Arabidopsis thaliana: one gene and its partners. Each later gene encodes a partner of the first gene's protein in a complex. Each region holds a gene or a part of one and is shown on either strand. Other genes may lie near its edges. The genes, in order: STV1, AT5G45775, AT3G58700 and RPL16A.

Region 1 (5,049 bases):
AGCCAAGAATCATGGCCAAAAAATATACCGATCAAAATAAAAAGGAGGTTATTACTAATATATTATATACCTATAGATGTTGCAATTGCGGTTTCTGACTTTTAGTTTATTTTTACCAAAACCTGACAAAACTCAGCAGAAGCATAATAATAGCCAACAATCAAAATTAAAATTGTGAGGCTAATATTTTGGCTTGACGAATACTCTTTAACCAAAATCATTATGAATTATGAGTTTGGATAGCCACATATAAGATCCCATTCTTGATTCTAGCTAGGGACAGAACTTATCGAGATCAATAATTGCCAAATATGTGACTTACTTATCTTGACCATGGAGACAGTTAAAAACTCTCAATGAAACAGCTCTCCTCTCCAAATCAGAAAACCTGCATATCAATTTATGATTAAAGTGTTAACGATGTAGAGTTGTAAGAAACTTTAACATACATCATCTAACATTCGACATGAACACCTGAGGAGCCCTCATCTACGTCTTTACAAGATCGTGGCATGCACTCTATTGAGATCATTGTGAGGGCTACCACAGAGGCTCATGACGAATTTAGATGATCAGTCTACGTTTTTCTATGACCTTAACACTTATTGAGGCCGGTTGGTTCTCTATGCCCACTTAACAACAAACAAGTTTCATCACCGTAGTAAAGTGTCTGTTGGGACACAAGAGTTCACATGATATTTCAAGTTCTGATGGAACTGGAATAGGGATTGTCGTCTTTGTTTGCCACCCACACGTAGCCTCTCGTGATGATTGTTTTCATAATCTCCACAAAAGATTACTTGTGGATCGCGAACCGAGACGACAGTCCCTTGCTTTCCAAAATCAAACGAAAAGGAAAAGAAAGAAAAAGGAAGGTGTAAGAATGGTGGTAATGTGGTAGAGTTATCATTTTCTTCTTCTTACCTCCTTCCATTATATAGTGTTTCACATGCCCATTTCGTAATATAACCTAAGCCAAAGAAAATCGCTTCGGTTTTAAATTATATAATTTTATTTTATAAAGTTAAAACTCATAAATCAGTAAATAAAAAATAAACTTAGGAAACGTTTTTGTTTCAACAGATTATATGGATTTCATACTTATACACAAACTATAAACATTCCCAAAGTTTTAGTAAAAATTAGCACCCATTATCCAAAATTTTAAAAACTTAGCTTAGTTTTATTATACAATACAATAGAATCGAACAAAAGGGACAACAGTTTTCTATCATATCTCGAATGTATCGAAATGTACTTAAGCGAGTATGGCTTTTTGGGGGACAAGGATCATGCATGAACGAAATATTTCTCCAACCACATATGTTATGTTTTGGCCCCGTGAAAATTTTCCACAAGTAAATTTATTGCTAAAGTTATTGACCAACAACATAAATCTTGTTGAAATGAATTAACTGAACAGTGTGAAAAAATCAACCAATATTCATGGTGTTCCTTACAATGCAATTTCAGTTCTGATGCAATCCGTAACAATTGAAGTTGTCACATGTTCACAACAATCCTTAAATCGATTTTAGCAAAAGAGCATAAGATACATAACCAAGGTTGCTGTTAGCTCAGTAGTTGCAATTAGAATCGGCTATTGAACACAACCGGGTGATATGAGATTGCGTAGCAAGATAGTAAACAATGTTTTAAAAAGAGTTATTATAGGAACACAAACTCTTCTGATTTTAATGATAGGAGGACAAGAGAGAGCAGTGAAATAAAGTTCATAAGCAGCAAAATTCTCAAGTCTGATATTATAAGAGTAGCAAAAGTGAGAGACAAAAACGAAATAACAAGGTTTATGTTTTGCAAATATTCAGAAATGAACATCAACTACTAAAAGTAGCTACTAGCAGAAAAGACGCAGAGTGAGAAAAGATGGCTTTAAGCTCTTCAGCGTTTGCCACCACCACCTCCCACCTTAGGACCCTTGGATGCAGCAGCAGCTTTGGGGAAATTAGCCTTGACCTTCTGTTGCTTAGAAGCAAATTCCACCTTCTTAGCCTTCTTTTCATCTTTGGTCTTTTTGATTCTTTCCTTGATCTCACTGTTTGTTGAATCATCATCACAATACATTTATTAAGTCAAATATAACTATTTTAATCCTAGTTGGATGATTTGACAGAGGGAGAAAACTAACCGCAGAGCAGCTTCCCTGGCTGCATCACGAACTTCAGGCTTCTCAGCTCTCTTCTTCTGAATTACTTCCAAGGTAGCACCAACAATGGACCTTGAGTATGGCTTCTTGGTGGCACGTCTCCTTCTCTTCACAGCCTCTTGTGCTGCATCCTATAAAAGAAACAGAGTTTTAGAATGTTAACAAATCAGGATCAATGAAAAAAAACAAAGTACAAACAACAAAACAGATCCAAATTACTGAGTTTTTTTTTTACCTTCTTGTGTTGCTTTCTGTACATGGCAGTCCATGCAAGCTTGGATGGCTTCAACTTGTTATGGAAGTACCTCTTACATTTTGAGTTAAGAAACAAGAAAACCTGAAAACAATACAAACCATTAAAAGACTAAAACCAAAACATTTGCAAAGTATAAACAAATCAATTTGATTAGCTGAAGATTCATAAAAGAACCAACCTGAGAATCAGATCGGATAAACCTAATTCCTCTTCCTGGGTAAATCTTCTGTCCACTGAAACGACAAAGCTCCGTCCTGTATTTCATAGATAATAAACAAATGAGACATTGCAACTAGAAATGACAACCAAATGATCTTTGACACTGAAAAATCTCAGTCTACATGATAGAAATGAATCATCCATATACCAAATACAGACTAATCACAGATATTAACGAAGTATCATACTTTTATTACTTAGAACCAGATCCAGCTACACAGAGACCATGAAATTACCCAGCTTAGCTAACGGTAAAGCAAAACATATCATAAATTCCGATTGAAACAAGAGTCAATTTCAGTGAATCGATCCTTCCGATAGTGTGAAATCATGAATCATTATCACTAGGCGATGTTAATAGATTCAACACAGGAACAGATACAGAGAGAGAGAGAGAGGTGAGATTTGATTACTTGAGAACCATGGTAGTAGCTGCTCCTCTTCTTCTTCGTCTTCTTCCTCCTGCTCAGGCTGCTCCCGGAAACACTAGACTAGAAAACCCTAATTCTCTCGATACTTATATATAAGAGACTTCACATTTCACCCAATGCCATTTTCGTCTATATATATTATTCTGGCCCACACTTTAAGCCCACTAAATAGGCCCATCACAAATAGGCCCATAATTTTATTAGCCCATATATTTTTGTAGTGATGACGTCAGCTCTCCTCCAATAATTTTTTGATTTTTTCCCATAGCCGACGACGGTAGAGGAAACTTGTCAATGGACCTAAAAAACGGTGACGTTTCGTAAAAGGTAGATGAAAGTTTGAACAAGTAGCTAAGCTCTCTCTCTGCACAAGCTTCCAGAAAAAATCAAATCAAAAGAGAGAGAGATCCACAAAATTGGATTGAATCGTCGCCGGATATTCCAAGAGTAGAGAGCTTAGTTTGTCTCGCGTTGCGTCTAGATTTACTGAATATGGAGGCGGAGAAGTGGAACAGCGACGGTGGTGAATACACGTCGGAGGACGAAGGTACAGAAGATTACCGACGCGGCGGTTACCACGCCGTTCGGATCGGTGACTCATTCAAAACCGGCCGGTACGTTGTCCAGAGCAAACTCGGTTGGGGCCATTTCTCTACTGTTTGGCTCTCCTGGGATACTCAATCCTCTGTACGCATCTATCTCTCTCTCTCGCCACACGAATTGCTTGAAATGCTTTAGAGATTAATTTTTCGTTGCTTTGTTTGTGTGATTTTCTTACTCGTATATCGAATGTACAGAGATATGTGGCTTTGAAGGTGCAAAAGAGTGCTCAGCATTATACTGAAGCAGCCATGGATGAGATAACAATATTGCAACAGATTGCAGAGGGAGACACTGATGATACCAAATGTGTTGTGAAGCTTTTGGATCATTTCAAACACTCAGGTCCGAATGGTCAGCATGTATGTATGGTTTTTGAGTATTTGGGAGATAATCTGTTAACGTTGATTAAGTATTCTGATTACCGTGGCTTACCTATTCCTATGGTTAAGGAGATTTGTTATCATATGTTGGTTGGTTTAGACTACTTGCATAAACAGCTTTCGATTATACATACTGATTTGAAGCCTGAGAATGTTTTGTTACCGTCAACTATTGATCCGTCTAAAGATCCGAGGAAGTCTGGAGCTCCTCTTGTTCTCCCCACTGATAAGGATAATACAGTTGTTGACTCCAATGGTGATTTTGTCAAGAATCAAAAAACAGGAAGTCATAGAAAGGCAAAGCTTTCGGCTCAGGGACATGCAGAGAATAAGGGCAATACGGAATCTGATAAAGTTCGTGGAGTGGGATCACCGGTTAATGGAAAACAATGTGCTGCAGAAAAATCGGTTGAAGAAGATTGTCCTTCTACTTCTGACGCAATTGAATTAGATGGTAGCGAGAAAGGAAAGCAGGGTGGTAAGAAAGGGAGTCGATCAAGTCGAAGGCACCTTGTGGCATCTGCTGACCTCAAGTGTAAACTTGTTGACTTTGGTAATGCGTGTTGGACATACAAACAGTTCACAAGCGACATTCAAACGAGACAGTATAGGTGTCCAGAAGTAATCCTTGGATCTAAATACTCTACATCTGCAGATCTCTGGTCATTCGCGTGCATATGTTTTGAACTTGTCACTGGAGATGTGCTATTTGATCCCCATAGTGGCGACAATTATGATAGAGATGAGGTATGCTTAAGTTCCCTGCTGTCTTTTGGCTGTGTGCATTTGTGGTTTTTACATATTTTGGCTTTCTCTTCTCTTGTTTTGTGGGATCTTAGCGTGGATTTGCTTCAATTTTCTATTGTGGGAGTTTGGAAATCTAATTGGCTTTTCTGTTAACAGGATCACTTGGCTCTGATGATGGAGCTTCTTGGGATGATGCCACGCAAGGTAATAGAATCATCAGCAGATAGGTTTATCATTTTACTAAGA
Region 2 (5,039 bases), on another chromosome or scaffold:
CAAAACCCTCTACATTTCCTCAACCCCAATCCAAACCTCTCGTCGTCTTTATGTCATCCTCGGAAACATGCATAAACTCACTTCCCTCACTATCTCAAACTCAAATCTCACTGGCCTTATCCCTAAATCTTTCCACTCAAATCTCAGATACATAGATTTATCAAACAACTCACTCAAAGGCTCAATACGCATTTCCATTACTCGTCTCAAAAACCTCAAGTCCTTAAACTTATCTCATAACTCTCTCTCTGGCCAAATACCAAACAAAATCAAAAGCTTAACTTTTCTAAAAAACTTATCTTTAGCTTCAAACAAACTATCAGGAACAATCCCAAATTCACTCTCATCTATCTCTGAACTTACACATTTGGATCTAAGTATGAATCAACTAAACGGAACCGTTCCAAGTTTCTTCTCCGAGATGAAGAACCTCAAACACTTGAATCTCGCTGATAACTCCTTCCATGGAGTTTTACCATTCAACGAAAGCTTCATCAAAAATCTCAACTTTTTCGAAATTGGAAGGAACAGTGAGCTCTGTTATAACAAAACTGTTCTCTCCTCGAACTTGAAATTGGAGGGTCTTGCTCCGTGTGATAAATACGGTTTTCCTTTATGGTCTCCGTCGCAAAAGGAGGAATCTTTGTCAGGAGAAAACGATTACGACGTTGAAGGAGGCAATGAGGAGAAGACGGAGAATCTGAAGACGAAGGAAGAAGAAGAAGAAGAACACAAAGGTTCCAACAAGACTCTGTTTGGTCTCGGCATTGGTCTTTTCTCGCTTGTGTTCTTAATCCTCTTCCTCTTTTATCTCGCTAAAAGGTGTCGTTTGATTTGAGAAGTCTGGGACGTAGTAATTTTGTATTGGTTGTGTATTCACCCTTCTCTCCTTCTAAATGTTTTATTTTATTTTCTCCTGTTTTAGTATTTATGAATTGTGGTTATGAGTGTATTTATGAATTGTGGTTATGAGTATCTTTAGTTTTATTTATACAAATTTGTTCAAAACATAGGGTTAGTTTAGGGACTGTGTAGTCCAGAGACATATTCATCTATAAGGACAATGAAATCAAAGGAGCTGCTTTTGATTGATTTTAGTTTTGATGATGACATTGAATAAAATAAGAAACATATCTCCAAGGTTCTTGGAAGATTTAGATTCTACCAAACTGATGTCAAAAGATTTACTACAACAAGAAATTCTTTAACATCCAAAGATAACAACTTAAAATAAGCTAGAATCAACAAAAATCTTTAAAGATCAAAACACTTTTTAACCAGTGATGTTCTGAGACTTGTTGAGGATAACTCCTTCATACTTGACCTGGAACCATTTCATTGCATCATCCTTGGTTACTCTGTGTTGAATACCAACACGAGTCTTGCATCTACGGCGGCGAGCCACACGATATCCTGGGCGTTCAAGGACAACGTAAAAGTCCATTCCGTAGATACCAGTGGAAGGATCGTACCTATATACACAAAATAAAACACATGAGAACAGTAAACATTTCAAATAAACCAGTTAATCAGTTTCGAATCTAACACCCTTGAAAAACAGTAAAGCATTCATCTTTTACTAGACCCAAATCTAGCATTCAACCAAAAACTAGTAAAGGGCTCATTTTTAATCCAATCCATACTTAAAATTCCACAAAAACTATAACACTCAGCGAAAACCAAAGTAGTCTGCATTCTGACTAAACCTCACAAAACCCCTAATTTAGAGACTTGACATTTAGATGCAACTGAAATTCTTTTAAACATATACAGATACATGAAGAATCCAAGTACCAAAACCATTATACAAAGCCATTAATGTAACTAATTCAAGGAAACTTTCATCGCAAAAGAAACAGAAAACTTACTTGATTCCAAGATCAATGTGCTCTTGGATACCAAATCCAAAGCAACCAGTGTCACTGAAGTTCCTCCTAAGAAGCTCATACTCCTTAACTTTCAAACCACTCTCAAGAAGCTGCATTGCCTTCTCACCTCTCACAGTCACATAACACGCAATCTTCTCATTACGCCTGATACCAAAAGACCTCACAGTGTACCTCGCTGTATAACAAAAACCACAACATACATCAGAATCAAGATCAACACAAAATCAAACTTAAATCCCTGAAAGATTTCAAATTCACATACCCTTAGAGAAGACAGGGGTTTGTCCACTGAGCTGCTCCAACACCTATACGAAATAACCAAAAACAATAATTCAAATCTAAATCACTAAATCAATGATGGATAATCGTAAAGGTCAGATTTTTACAAACAAAATCGAACCTTGGAGGCACGAGTGAGACGATCACCACTCTCACCAACGGAAATGTTGAGAACAAGTTTCTGAACCTTAATGTCCCTCATGGGGTTCGAGAGCTTCTTCTCCGACGCCTGAGAAACAAAACAAAGCCGAAAAATAAACCCATTGAACTAAACACATTTTCATTGAATCGATCTACAGAGACGAACGAAACAAATACCATTTTAAGGAGATCAATGTCGAGCTAAGAGACGAAGCAGTGTAGAGTTTGCAAAGCCCAAAACTGCGTCGAGTGCAAAGTGAGAGAACTTATATGGGTCGGTACTTAGGGTTTCTTGAATTAACGCAATGACGAAATTACCCCTTTGATTTATTAAAATGGTTTAATGGGCCAATATTATAAAGCCCATAAGAAAAGCATAATCTTAAGCATATATTTGGCCTTCTTAGTTACATAAGGCAAATAGTCTTTCATTCGCCGAATCACTTTATTATGTATGAGTTTTAAAATTAACGATAGATAATTTTTTATGAGACTGTGGAAACGCAAATCTTCATTTATTTTTGGAAGAACAGAATAAATAAGAGTTATTGAGAAAACAAATTTTTACAGTTAATGCCATGACAATGACAACAAAATCAAGAAGACTAGTTAAGACACTATGAAGTCTATCATCGTGGTCCAGAGAGCTCAATGGCTTCAATAATAAAGGACTGCTCTTCATGACCATTACTGTAGTTCCTAGAGACACTTGGAGCTCTAGCTTCATACCCTCCTTCACACTGTTCCACTAAACCTTCTAGTACCTTCAACACTTGAGACATCCTCGGTCTTAGATTCGGATGTGGCTGTGTACAAAGCAAAGCCAATTCCACTACTTCCTCCAACACCAAATCATCAAACTCTCCCTTCAAATCTCTGTCCACCATCTCTGCAAATCTCTTCTCTGCTTTCAATGTCCTTACCTACAAAAACCAATGGTTTAGATTTAAGTTTTGTCCTTATGGGTTCAGTCTAAGTTGAGTAAATGACTCATAGAATTTTTTTACTTACCCAGCTCAATATCATTCCTTTTCGAACTTGACCATTGCCTTGATCAATCATCTTATGACCTGTTATGAGTTCAAGGATTAGTACTCCGAATCCGAAAACATCGGTTTTCTCTGAGGACTGTCCAGTGGAAAGGTACTCGGGAGCGATGTGTCCAATGGTTCCTCGGACTGCGGTAGTGACATGTGAATCTCTCTGGTCTAAAAGCTTTGCTAGACCAAAATCGCCAACTATTGCTTCAAAGCTCTCATCAAGTAGAATATTTGCAGCTTTGACGTCTCTGTGAATAATCTTTGGATTGCATTGCTCGTGCAAGTAAACAAGTCCTCGAGCTGCGCCGAGTGCAATGCTTATCCTCCGATTCCAATCTAGAGACGGCTTTTCTCCATAATTGTCTGAAACATGTAATCTTATAAGGAACTTTTCGCGTTATATATCGAAAGAATAACAAAACAAGAAATGTGTTAATTGAAAACCTCTCAGACGATCAGCTACGCTTCCATTTGGCATGTACGGATACACAAGCATTCTCTCTTCCGGGGTCATACAGAATCCAAAGAGGCGTAAAAGGTTACGGTGAACAGCTAAGCCAATCATCTCTACTTCGGTTTGAAACTGAACTTCTCCTGTATAAATCGGATCTTTCAATCTTTTAACTGCCACCACAGTTCCATTTGGGAGATACCCTTTATAAACCATCCCAAACCCTCCTTGTCCCAAAATGTTCTTTGGACTAAAATTGCTTGTTGCGGTTTGTATTTCGCGAAAACTGAACCTTTTCAGATGGCCGATTTCAAATTCGTAGTCTTGCTGCACTAAGAAATCCATAAAAAGTAATGCAGATTTTAGCAAAGTCTTGACATATATTGTATATGACAGACAGAGAGAGACTATTAGATATGTACCGTGTGATCTTGAGAGACGTGATCGATGCCAAAGCACCCAGAAGAAGAGAAACATTAGGGAGATGATAAAGGCAACAACAATGCCAAATGCAAAAGAGAGCACTAAGCTGTGATGTTTGCTATTGTCCTTTTCAGACAAACCCGTCGCTGCAGATCGATTGCAGCTAGTTAAATAAACGAAACCATGTTTTAAATAAAGTTTTGCAAAGAATTTTCGAAGCAACATACCATTTCTCACAGGTGTAGCATCTGAGCAAAGCTCTTGGGAAGCTGGACCACAAAGAAATGCATTTCCTACAATCCTAAAACAGAAAAGTTTATCAAGAAGCTTTCACATAAGTTGCAACGGCTAATAATCATGCATTTTTCGCATATCTTACCTGTAATCTTTTGCTGATATATTCGGAGTTGGTCCGCTTAGATTGTTGAAAGATAGATCCCTATTCAAGTTTTTCATAAATAAAAAAACATTAGTCTAAGAAACATTATACGAAATAGAAATTTCCTGGAGCTGTAATGTTAGGTAGAGTAAGACATACAAGAAAGAAAGACCTGAGAGGCCAGCGACGAGGTGAGGGACTTGCCCAGATAAAAGATTCCTGCTAAGCCGCCTACAAGACTTAACCTTGTAAGAAAATAACAATTGCAACATTAAGTAAATCAAGAATCTTTGCATCAAACTCACAAGTAGTTTAAGTGAGTTAAGAACCCTAAAGAAGCTGGGATTTCACCACTAAACCGATTCCCCGATAAATCAAGCGTTTCAAGCTCAGAGAGTTGGCCTAACTCAGAAGGAATCGGACCAGTTAACTGATTA
Region 3 (4,931 bases), 2.0 Mb from region 1:
TTAAAGTTCAAAGAATTAGTTTAAACTTTTAAGTGAAACTGTACATCGGTTAAGATGATAGTAGTTCTTAGGCTAAGGTTAGTGAATTTTCCCAAAATGCATCATGTTTGTGAACGTGACATATTATTCTTGTATATCATGCTTACTTATTTTCTTCTTATTGTTTACGATTTATCCATTTTGGACTAAATCTATATTCCATTGAAAATTAACCTTAATTTGAATCTTATGTCAAGGTCATTTTCATAAGAAGTTTCTGTTATTTAAAAACTTGATGTACAATGTTCTCTTATTCTCTGCTAAGCTTAGTTTTTTCGTATATATCCCCATCCAAGATCTTATTGACTCCTCCGTTTTAAGAAGTTTACATACCGCGAGAACTCTCTTTTCATTGGAAGCTAGAGGTTACCAACCCTAATATATAAAATGACATTGAGTAATTCATTATTTACCAACAAGTTCACATGGGTTTAACCGAATTAGCAAACAAAAAAAAATCTGGTCCAAAAAATAAGTGATCAGAGGTCCAAAAAATAACGTGCAATGAATCTTGATACCAAAAAAATAAAAACGTGCTATGAATCTTATATCGAAAAATGAGAAGGAACCAATAGTCCAATACTATTGTAGTATTAGTATTAAAAACATGAAGCTCACAAAAACAACAGATTCACATCGCTTTTATGCAAGAAAATCGGTTGCTTTAATGTTTTAGCCCGTACCATCCAACAGAAAGAGGTTATGAGATCTTAACCAAAAAGTTTCCAGAGAGTGACATGGCCCTTTTCATGACAAATGGATACTATCTTAATATGTCACATTTGATGACGTTTTGTGGATGAATTTGGCCAGATAAAAACTGCAATTCATCTGAGATAAAAAGTAAAAATAAAAAATAAAAAATATATATGGGTCTAGAGACAAATGACTTTTAATATTTTATAAATGTGTACAGAAATTTGGGCTGGAAATGGCTTATAATAAATCTGTGTGGGATCAAGTCAAGATTCCTCCAGTCCTTTATTAAATTGTAAAATCATAAATAGATAAAACTATAAAAGCCTGTGTCATAATTATTAGTTTAATTACTCCATTATTGTCTCCAACTTCTTCTGTCAGAATGGAGCCAAAACTTGTATTTTCTGGTTGTATAGGTTTTCTGATTAGTTTATGTATGTAACGCGTGTTTACACACACAAAACGTATGTAATGTATATGTTTGATTTGGTCACTTCTGATCATGATAATTAATGTCGAACCAATCAATAATTCGCTCGAATCTGATGCAACTGAGAATTGACAATGAAACATGATTGGATAATGTTTTTGAAGTTGTTGTTATGTTAAATAATGTACAAGTACACAGGGTAATTATATAATTGACACGTCTTCTAAATATTAAACATATAGACGCATAGTCAAAGATTCGTTTAAAAATTTATGTAAAAATGCATTTTACCTCATGAAAAACTATAACGCAGTTATTAACTATAACACCAGAATGCGATTATAAGTCATAACACAAACGATTATTGTTGAACTAAGAGTGTTATTTTACAAAATTACGGTTTGGGGATGAGTTATGTAGATATAGAGAATGTTCATTACCTGTCGGAGTATCGAAAATTCGGAAATGTGTTTTAGACCTTTAGTCAGCTTTTGTCGGAGTAGTAGATACGCAAAATATATAAAGGAAAATCAAAATGTCTGAAGAACAGAGAAGCAAAACAAAACTGAGAAAATACGATTTGAACCCAAAAAAAACAAAACAGATGATAGCTATTTGTTTGACACATTTGTTTAACCAGTGATGTTCTGAGACTTGTTGAGAATGACTCCTTCATATTTCACCTGGAACCATTTCATGGCATCATCTTTCGTCACTCTATGCTGGATTCCAACACGAGTCTTGCATCTTCTGCGGCGCGCAACACGGTAACCTGGTCGCTCAAGAACAACATAGAAGTCCATGCCGTAGATTCCAGTCGATGGATCATACCTGAGATCAAATATATATTTAAAAACCCCGTACGTTTGATCACTGGTTACACAAAAGCCACTCTAAAGTTGTTCTATGTATGTGTTAGAAAGAATGAGACTTACTTGATACCCAAATCAATGTGCTCTTGAATACCAAAACCAAAGCAACCAGTGTCGCTGAAGTTCCTTCTCAAGAGTTCGTATTCTTTAACTTTCAATCCACTCTCAAGGAGCTGCATTGCCTTCTCTCCCCTGACAGTCACATAGCAAGCAATCTTCTCATTACGTCTTATACCAAAAGAACGAACAGTGTATCGAGCTGCAAAAGAGATAACAAGTGTTAAGATTTATGTCAAAACTCTCTTCATCCAAAACAAAGTTACAATCATCTTCCAAGCAATTGATACAAAACAATTGATAGAGCTACTGATTCTCACTACGATTATCTATGGATCCAGGCCAGTAACAATTAAAAATCATACACCAAAAAGTAAGAACTAATGACCTTCAAAAAAACTAACTCATCGTCCTAAACTTCAGAAGCATCGTGCCCCTGTTTTAGTCGAGATCACTAACTATCTCCAGCAAATTTTCTCAGAGATCGAACGATGAATTGATACAACTTAGAAAATAACTTACCCTTGGAGAAAACAGGAGTCTGACCACTCAATTGTTCCAACACCTACCAAGTTATCGAAGAACTAATTCCATTAAAATCGAGCATACACACAGGGTTGATATGAAAACCAGACAAAACAGATAAAAAAAAGTGAAACCTTGGAGGCTCTGGTGAGACGATCTCCACTCTCACCAACGGAGATGTTGAGAACCAGCTTCTGCACTTTAATGTCCCTCATTGGGTTCGATAGCTTCTTCTCCGACGCCTGAATTCAACCAAAATATATATCATCAAATCTCTATTTGAAACATCAAAAAACGTGAAACCAAAGAAGAGGAGTTAACTGCGACGGACCATTTCGGATTAGGGTTGCGATATATCTCCGGCCGACGGGAAAACACGAATCGGAAAGAAGAAACGGAGATGAAGCGGCAAACTATATAAACCCTAGTTCTAATTAGCCTTCTAGGGTTCTAAGCAAATTTTACGAGTACTCAAAATGACGATTGTACCCTCCTTTCTCCATCAAGCCCACGTTCCCTCACGTGACCTTTTTTCTCATGAACTAATATCATTCTCGTCTCTGTAGAATATAGTAATGGGTCAGGATTGGCCCAATAACTAGTAGCCCATAGAGATTCGAAAAAGTTTATTTGATGATTATCTCTATGACTCCATGTTTGATCACTCAAGTGTTTACATCATTGTCTGTTTTAGTAAATACCGTTACATAATAAAAGCCTCACATTTCGTCTTCTCTGATTGATTTATTCATTGAGAACCTATGCTTGCTTTACCCGGAGAGTTAGGAGACCGAGCCAAGCTAAAGCTACTAGAGCAGCCACTAAGCTTTGAAGCTGACCTACGGTTTCTCACTAATGGAACCAGTGACTGCACCACATCTGCCATTAAGGGTCTGTAGTCAGCTTCTGCTTGAACACACATTGCTGCTATTGCTGCAACTTGAACAACTTCTTTCGTAGAGTATTGTCCTTCGAGTGTTGGATCCATTATGTCTACTACTTTGTCTCTATCAGCCAATTGAGGCAAAGCCTGGAGATAGGAAAAGTTAAGTTATTAGAGCAAAGACAAGAAGAAATGACACAAGAGCAGTTTGTGAAAGGAACGCGTACCCAAGAGACAAGAACACCTTCTCCTGTAGCTCTCTTCATATCTACTGGAACTCTACCGGTTAGTAACTCTAACAGGACAACACCGTAGCTATAGACATCCGACTTTGTTGTCAAGTGACCAGTTAAAGCGTACCTGACATAAGATATTGAAAATATTGGTATTAGTATCCAACCTATCAAAGTTAACTGATGGAAACAAGAACAAAGAGATGATTGAGTGAAAAACATACTCAGGAGCTACATATCCTTGTGTGCCTAATACACGGGTAGAAACGTGTCCACCAGCTTTATCTGATCCGACTTTAGCCAATCCAAAATCTGAAACTTTGGCATTGAAGTTTCTGTCCAGCAGAATATTGCTGCTCTTAAAGTCTCTATGAATCACCGGGGGTGATACTTGTTCATGGAGATATTCCAAGCCTTTTGCAGCTTCCACAGCTATTCTCATCCTAGTTTCCCAATCTAATCTTGGTGGGACAGAACCAGACCCTAAATGCAAGAAAAAGAGATTTTTCTATCAAATCCAACAAGAATTCCAGACGTATATTCACCAATTCGTAATTATTATACACTATCTAGGATTCATGTTCAAATTGTTAGCATCTAGACAGATAGACTAAATTTGGAGTCTTCAGATGACAACTTCAAACATGCAGCAACTTCTAACTCTACTGGAAAAAGAAACTTACTGTTGGGAAGATACAGGTGTTCCTGCAGACCACCATTTGCCATGAACTCATACACAAGCAGCTTATGACTATTGTCTGAGCAATAACCAAGAAGTGCCAACAAGTATGGTGAACGCAGACGGCTCAGTAACTCAACCTGGCACCAGATACAAAAAATTGATCAATCAAGTAATCAAAAACGCTGCAAACAGCAAAATGTGCATAAGCTTTGAAAAAATAAAGATCAAAGAGTAAGCTAAAAATAATCAAACCTCCATCTTGAATTCTTCTTCCCCTTGCTTTCCTGCATGATCCATGAGCTTGATAGCAACTTTTCTGCCATCGTTAAGCACACCACGATAAACCAAGCCAAACCCACCATTCCCAACCACATTAGACTTGCTAAATCCACCAGTTGCTGAATGCAATTGCTTAAAGGTGAAAATTTGCAACCCATTTTCAGTAACATCTTGTACTTTCTGACAATCGCCTTTTTCCTCACAATCAAACCCTAAAAATCGACAGGTAAAA
Region 4 (4,900 bases), on another chromosome or scaffold:
GATTAGAACACTAATATGTATGACAAAAGCTTTCTTCTTGATTCAATGAAGTCACACTCATTTCAAATCCATAAATAATAAAGCTTACTTAAGTACTATAGTTGGTTAAACTCACAATAATATGACAATGTTTTGCTACTAATCACATCACTTGGATCAGTTATTTTTTGTTAAAACCTTGACTTGGATCTTACACTTTGATGACGCTCTTGGAAGCATCATAAGATTCCTCATTTCCATGGTGGTTTGCAAGTTATTACTGTTGTTTACCACGCAAATTTTCACTAGCTCAAGACACGGTAACTTCTCCAAGAAATGCTTCATTTGATTCAGCTCTCTTGTCGTTCCTTGATAGCTCAATATCTCCAGCACCTTCACTTGAGATGATGATAGGCAAGAGGTTATGCTCTCGTCGGTATCATAGCAAACACATACATCCCCACATCTGTTTGTTATGTAGTGATCGAGACCCTGAAGCATAACAAAGAAAAAGAGTAATGTTAACGACCTACCAATATATATATGGTGTTTAGGATGTGTTTGTGACATGAGATACCATGAAGATGAGGGTTTCTAGGTTTGGAGAGTTCTTGATCAGAAGTGGCAGCATTTGCCATCCTCTTGCCTTGTCATTCCCAATAGATAGACTAACAAGGCTGTCGAACAATGGCATTTCTTTACATGAGAAATAAAGCAGCTTCAACAAAACACAATGTGTTAGTCTGTTGTCACTCAATAACACAAAAGTTGAAATAAATCATCAAAAGCCCCAAGTGAATCTCATTCTCGATAAGCAAAAAAAAAGAAGAATGTTATTTATAAGGAAAGAACAATATATAGAGGAGGCTGACCTCTAGAGTGTGGCTAGATAAGTGAAGGATTCTAACATTTCTGATTCCATTGATGAGATTTCTCATATCAGCGGGAATGGAACCGAGAGATCCATTTCTTACTCCCACCATTCTTGTTTCATCCATCCGAAGATTGAGTCTAGCTTCGATGAGGGAATCCAACTTAACATTAGGATACTTACCCAAAACATAACCAGAGTGTTTGTAGTAGATAAGATTAGGAGCATCTAATGAAATACTAGTAAACTTGCGATCAAATCGGATGTGTAGTCTCTTTAGAGATGGAGAAGACACGGAACAAGTCCAATCTACACATCGCCGCTCCTCAACAACCAGTTCTTCGAGAACAGGACAGCGAGATATAAGAGTTCCAACAACATTATGACCTCCAACAAAATTAACTGAGTCAAGACATAATGTCCTAAGCAAAGGAAGAGAAACATCTTGAGAAAGCTTGATTGTAAAACCACGTCCTACTCTCAGCTTAACCAATGTCTTGCTCTTAAAGATCATTGCAGGCACTGGTGGAGATTTTCCTTTTAAAGTAATGAACACATCAAGATCCATAACACCATGGTCAAGAACGTTGCAAATCCAACTTTGAATGCGAGATGAATCAGTGCCACCTCGAACACCAACATGACTCTTTAGAGTGAGCTTCTTTATAGAAGAACCACGTTGCGTATCTAGCAATTTGTCAACGAAAGCCATGTAATTTCTGTGAATCTCAATCCGGTTTTGCTTAGTCTTAGGCACAGATTGACGATCATCAATATCAAGATTGGAAACCAAAACAAACATGTTCTTCCACCTCTTAGAGAGTACTGAGGTTGAAACAGCTTCTTTTGTGGAGATAAGAGACAGAATACGCCCAAGAACCTCATCTGGTAGACGGCTGATTACATCTTTAGCATTCATTGATACCAAAACCTTAAAACCACAGCAATTGGATTCAGAAACAGTAACTAGACAGAGTTGATGAGTTCAAAGGTCTGTTCTTTTTCATACAATGCAAAGTCTAATACAAAAGTTATCATGTATCTCTTCAATCACATTGATTACCATAGAAATGAAAAAGACGAAACAGAGCAGACAACATACCTTGCTAAAGTGCTACTTGCTACAGAGTCGTGAAAGCTCTCCACTTTCAATACCAATTTAATCGTGAGATCAAAAGTGAAAACATCGAATACTAGGGTTTTGGAAAGTTTAAGAGAAGAGACGAAGAAACTGAAACAACTTATTATAAGCAATTTCCTCCATTTCCACATGAGGAAAGAGTAAAGCAGAAAGACTGATGAAGAAAAGGTAAGTAGTCTGTTTGGGAAAGAAAGTCACGTGAGAGAAGCGTGGGCCTTTAAGGGTAAAACTGTCATTTAAATAGTCGCCGTTCTTTACACTTAGGATTAGGGCTTCTAACATTTAAATAGTCGTTTCGTTCTCCGTCTCTCCTTTCCCGTCGGCCGGTGATAATTTCGCAACCCAAATTCCAAATGGTAAGTTTCAGTTCTTGGATTTGTATGATTTTGTAATGTGAATAGGGATTTGAAGATTTACTTACTTTTGAAATTCAGGCGTCGGAGAAGAAGCTATCGAACCCAATGAGGGACATTAAAGTGCAGAAGCTGGTTCTCAACATCTCCGTTGGTGAGAGTGGAGATCGTCTCACCAGAGCCTCCAAGGTTCCTCCTGTTTTTTACCCATTCTCTGTGGTTTTCACTCTTGTTGTCACTTGGTTATAATCGATTGATTCGTGGTTACTTGGTAGGTTTTGGAACAATTGAGTGGTCAGACTCCTGTTTTCTCCAAAGGTTAGATTTTTTCTCATATTTGAAAGCTTACAAATAGTCTGGTTGATAGATTTAGTAATCTAGAAGAATTTGGGAAACATAGTTTAGTTAAGTCTATGAATGGGTGCATGGTTTGATGATGAATTTGAGATTTTGGAATCCAGTAAGTCCCTTATCTGGTGGTTTGTGATAACTTGATAAGCCTACCAGTCCAAATTAGGAGCTGTTCGTTTCCCCGCTTCTGATATAGTTGCGTTGTGCACTCTGTTTTATATGCATCGCTTTTGGTTTGCTCTGAGAGACATGATTTGGTTTAGCTTCTTCCATTGCAATTTTCAAGAACCCTTGTTATGTGTGGCTTTTGCAGCTAGATACACTGTTCGTTCTTTTGGTATCAGACGTAACGAGAAGATCGCATGCTATGTAACCGTCAGAGGTGAGAAGGCAATGCAACTACTTGAAAGTGGATTGAAAGTCAAGGAATACGAACTTCTCAGAAGAAACTTCAGTGACACTGGTTGCTTCGGTTTTGGTATTCAAGAACACATTGATTTGGGTATCAAGTAAGTCAATCCCCTTAAATCATCCTGTCATAACACTTGGGGTTCACCACATTCTTGGTGATACTCATTGATCTTTGTTTCACTTCTTATAAAGGTACGATCCATCAACTGGAATCTATGGTATGGACTTCTATGTGGTCCTAGAACGTCCTGGCTACCGTGTAGCACGTCGCAGAAGGTGCAAGGCTCGTGTTGGTATCCAACACAGAGTAACTAAAGACGATGCAATGAAATGGTTCCAGGTGAAATACGAAGGAGTCATTCTCAACAAGTCCCAGAACATCACTGGCTAAAACAATTCCTCCTAACTCTTTCTTCTGTTTTAGAAAACCCTGTCTCAGTTTTGTTTACTTGTCTGAATCTTAATCTTTGTACTTTATATGCATTATTGGCTTTAGTTTCAGTTATTTAAGTATCTAATTTCGTGTGAGGATAAGCAAGATAAGAAAATTTTGGCGGGTAGTTGAAGCGTGTGGAGACATATAAATCCACTAGCTGACACGTGCCACGGACGGCTAAGCACGCTTTCGCCGATCGCCGATCGCCGCTAGATTCATCTCGGATTCCTCCAAATAAGCTTCCCTGGTTCTTATCTTGCCACGTCAGCATTTCTCCCTCGTACGCCTTAAATTCTTCACAAAAATAATAAAAATATTAATTCAAATAAATGTTCATCTTCTCCTACGAATGAAATTGAAATTAATTTGAGCGATCGGAACAGGATCGGGTCGGATCTTTTGAAGTTCTTCAATGGCGCAGATACTTTCCCCTGTTTGTACGGATCTTTTGAAGTTCCAGAACTCAGCTCTTAGCTCCAGATCAGGTGCGTCGCCGCGGTTCTCGGCGAAGACCACCGGTGCTTCTTCATCTTGGTACTTACCTCGGTACGCAGGAAAGAGGCGAACCGATTCAATCGGAAGATTGAGAGTTGCAACTGAGGATGCTTCTTCTCTTTCCACCGGTGATGTCGCCGATGATTACTATGCCGTTCTCGGACTCGTAAGAACCAAGGCTATTTCAATCCGATTTGATATATGCATATAGGGATTTTGAAGTGATGATTTTTTTTTTTGGTTTAAGTTGTTTGCTTATGATTGAAACTTCTTGTGTATCATGGAAAAATACTCTGCATTTCATATGGTTGTAGCTAGATTCATCTTTGTCGAAATTGTGAAGCCTTTGACAGGTTACAATCATTAAGATCAAAGATTGTGACTTTAATAACTCTCCTTTGCTATGTCAATAGCTTCCAGATGCTACGCAGGAGGAGATTAAGAAAGCTTACTATAACTGTATGAAATCGTGCCATCCAGACTTGAGTGGCAATGACCCCGAAACCACAAATTTCTGCATGTTCATTAACGATATCTATGAGGTGAGTTTTTTACTTGACTTCCTTATAGATTTTTGTAAGCGTTTAGTAAGGTCCATATGCTTTTTCGTTTAATGATTTACCGTTGCATTGCAGATTCTCAGTGACCCTGTACAGCGTATGGTTTACGATGAAATTCATGGGTATACAGTGACTGCCATCAATCCTTTTCTTGATGACTCCACCCCAAGGGATCATGTTTTTGTTGATGAGTTTGCTTGTATAGGTATTCTTTCTTCAATTTAGAGGCTGCGTGCTTTGATGATCTGGAAAGTGACTACATTTGCGTTTGGTGTTTAACAGGCTGCAAAAATTGTGCCAATG

Evidence for each region.
Region 2: STV1 (region 1) and AT5G45775 share a complex: the UniProt entries of both Arabidopsis thaliana proteins name them as parts of the large ribosomal subunit.
Region 3: STV1 (region 1) and AT3G58700 share a complex: the UniProt entries of both Arabidopsis thaliana proteins name them as parts of the large ribosomal subunit.
Region 4: STV1 (region 1) and RPL16A share a complex: the UniProt entries of both Arabidopsis thaliana proteins name them as parts of the large ribosomal subunit.

Annotation. Positions count from the first base shown.
Region 1 is NC_003074.8:19,658,847-19,663,895, forward strand, and holds STV1 (Ribosomal protein L24e family protein), read right to left. Parts: upstream 3,180-5,049; 5' UTR 3,067-3,179; coding exon 3,056-3,066; intron 2,678-3,055; coding exon 2,602-2,677; intron 2,505-2,601; coding exon 2,403-2,504; intron 2,299-2,402; coding exon 2,150-2,298; intron 2,057-2,149; coding exon 1,903-2,056; 3' UTR 1,642-1,902; downstream 1-1,641. Other genes in the region: SRPK4 (ser/arg-rich protein kinase 4), read left to right, coding at 3,566-3,760, 3,871-4,803, 4,960-5,007. UniProt on the Arabidopsis thaliana protein: Might have an extraribosomal function in reinitiation of translation of ETTIN and MONOPTEROS genes that are involved in the auxin-mediated gynoecium patterning.
Region 2 is NC_003076.8:18,564,008-18,569,046, forward strand, and holds AT5G45775 (Ribosomal L5P family protein), read right to left. Parts: upstream 2,576-5,039; 5' UTR 2,490-2,575; coding exon 2,487-2,489; intron 2,464-2,486; exon of another isoform or gene 2,398-2,463; coding exon 2,290-2,397; intron 2,195-2,289; coding exon 2,152-2,194; intron 2,065-2,151; coding exon 1,869-2,064; intron 1,473-1,868; coding exon 1,274-1,472; 3' UTR 985-1,273; downstream 1-984. Other genes in the region: RLP55 (receptor like protein 55), read left to right, coding at 1-838; AT5G45780 (Leucine-rich repeat protein kinase family protein), read right to left, coding at 2,939-3,232, 3,321-3,712, 3,794-4,132, 4,223-4,369, 4,451-4,524, 4,603-4,662, 4,762-4,833, 4,908-5,039. UniProt on the Arabidopsis thaliana protein: Component of the ribosome, a large ribonucleoprotein complex responsible for the synthesis of proteins in the cell.
Region 3 is NC_003074.8:21,709,686-21,714,616, reverse strand, and holds AT3G58700 (Ribosomal L5P family protein), read right to left. Parts: upstream 3,173-4,931; 5' UTR 2,957-3,172; coding exon 2,954-2,956; intron 2,865-2,953; coding exon 2,757-2,864; intron 2,663-2,756; coding exon 2,620-2,662; intron 2,300-2,619; coding exon 2,104-2,299; intron 2,000-2,103; coding exon 1,801-1,999; 3' UTR 1,513-1,800; downstream 1-1,512. Other genes in the region: AT3G58690 (Protein kinase superfamily protein), read right to left, coding at 3,371-3,652, 3,733-3,865, 3,963-4,221, 4,422-4,557, 4,673-4,911. UniProt on the Arabidopsis thaliana protein: Component of the ribosome, a large ribonucleoprotein complex responsible for the synthesis of proteins in the cell.
Region 4 is NC_003071.7:17,789,450-17,794,349, forward strand, and holds RPL16A (ribosomal protein large subunit 16A), read left to right. Parts: upstream 1-2,242; 5' UTR 2,243-2,344; coding exon 2,345-2,347; intron 2,348-2,425; coding exon 2,426-2,533; intron 2,534-2,619; coding exon 2,620-2,662; intron 2,663-3,008; coding exon 3,009-3,204; intron 3,205-3,298; coding exon 3,299-3,497; 3' UTR 3,498-3,693; downstream 3,694-4,900. Other genes in the region: AT2G42730 (F-box/FBD/LRR protein), read right to left, coding at 157-471, 557-697, 852-1,769; AT2G42750 (DNAJ heat shock N-terminal domain-containing protein), read left to right, coding at 3,955-4,203, 4,451-4,579, 4,673-4,802, 4,880-4,900. UniProt on the Arabidopsis thaliana protein: Component of the ribosome, a large ribonucleoprotein complex responsible for the synthesis of proteins in the cell.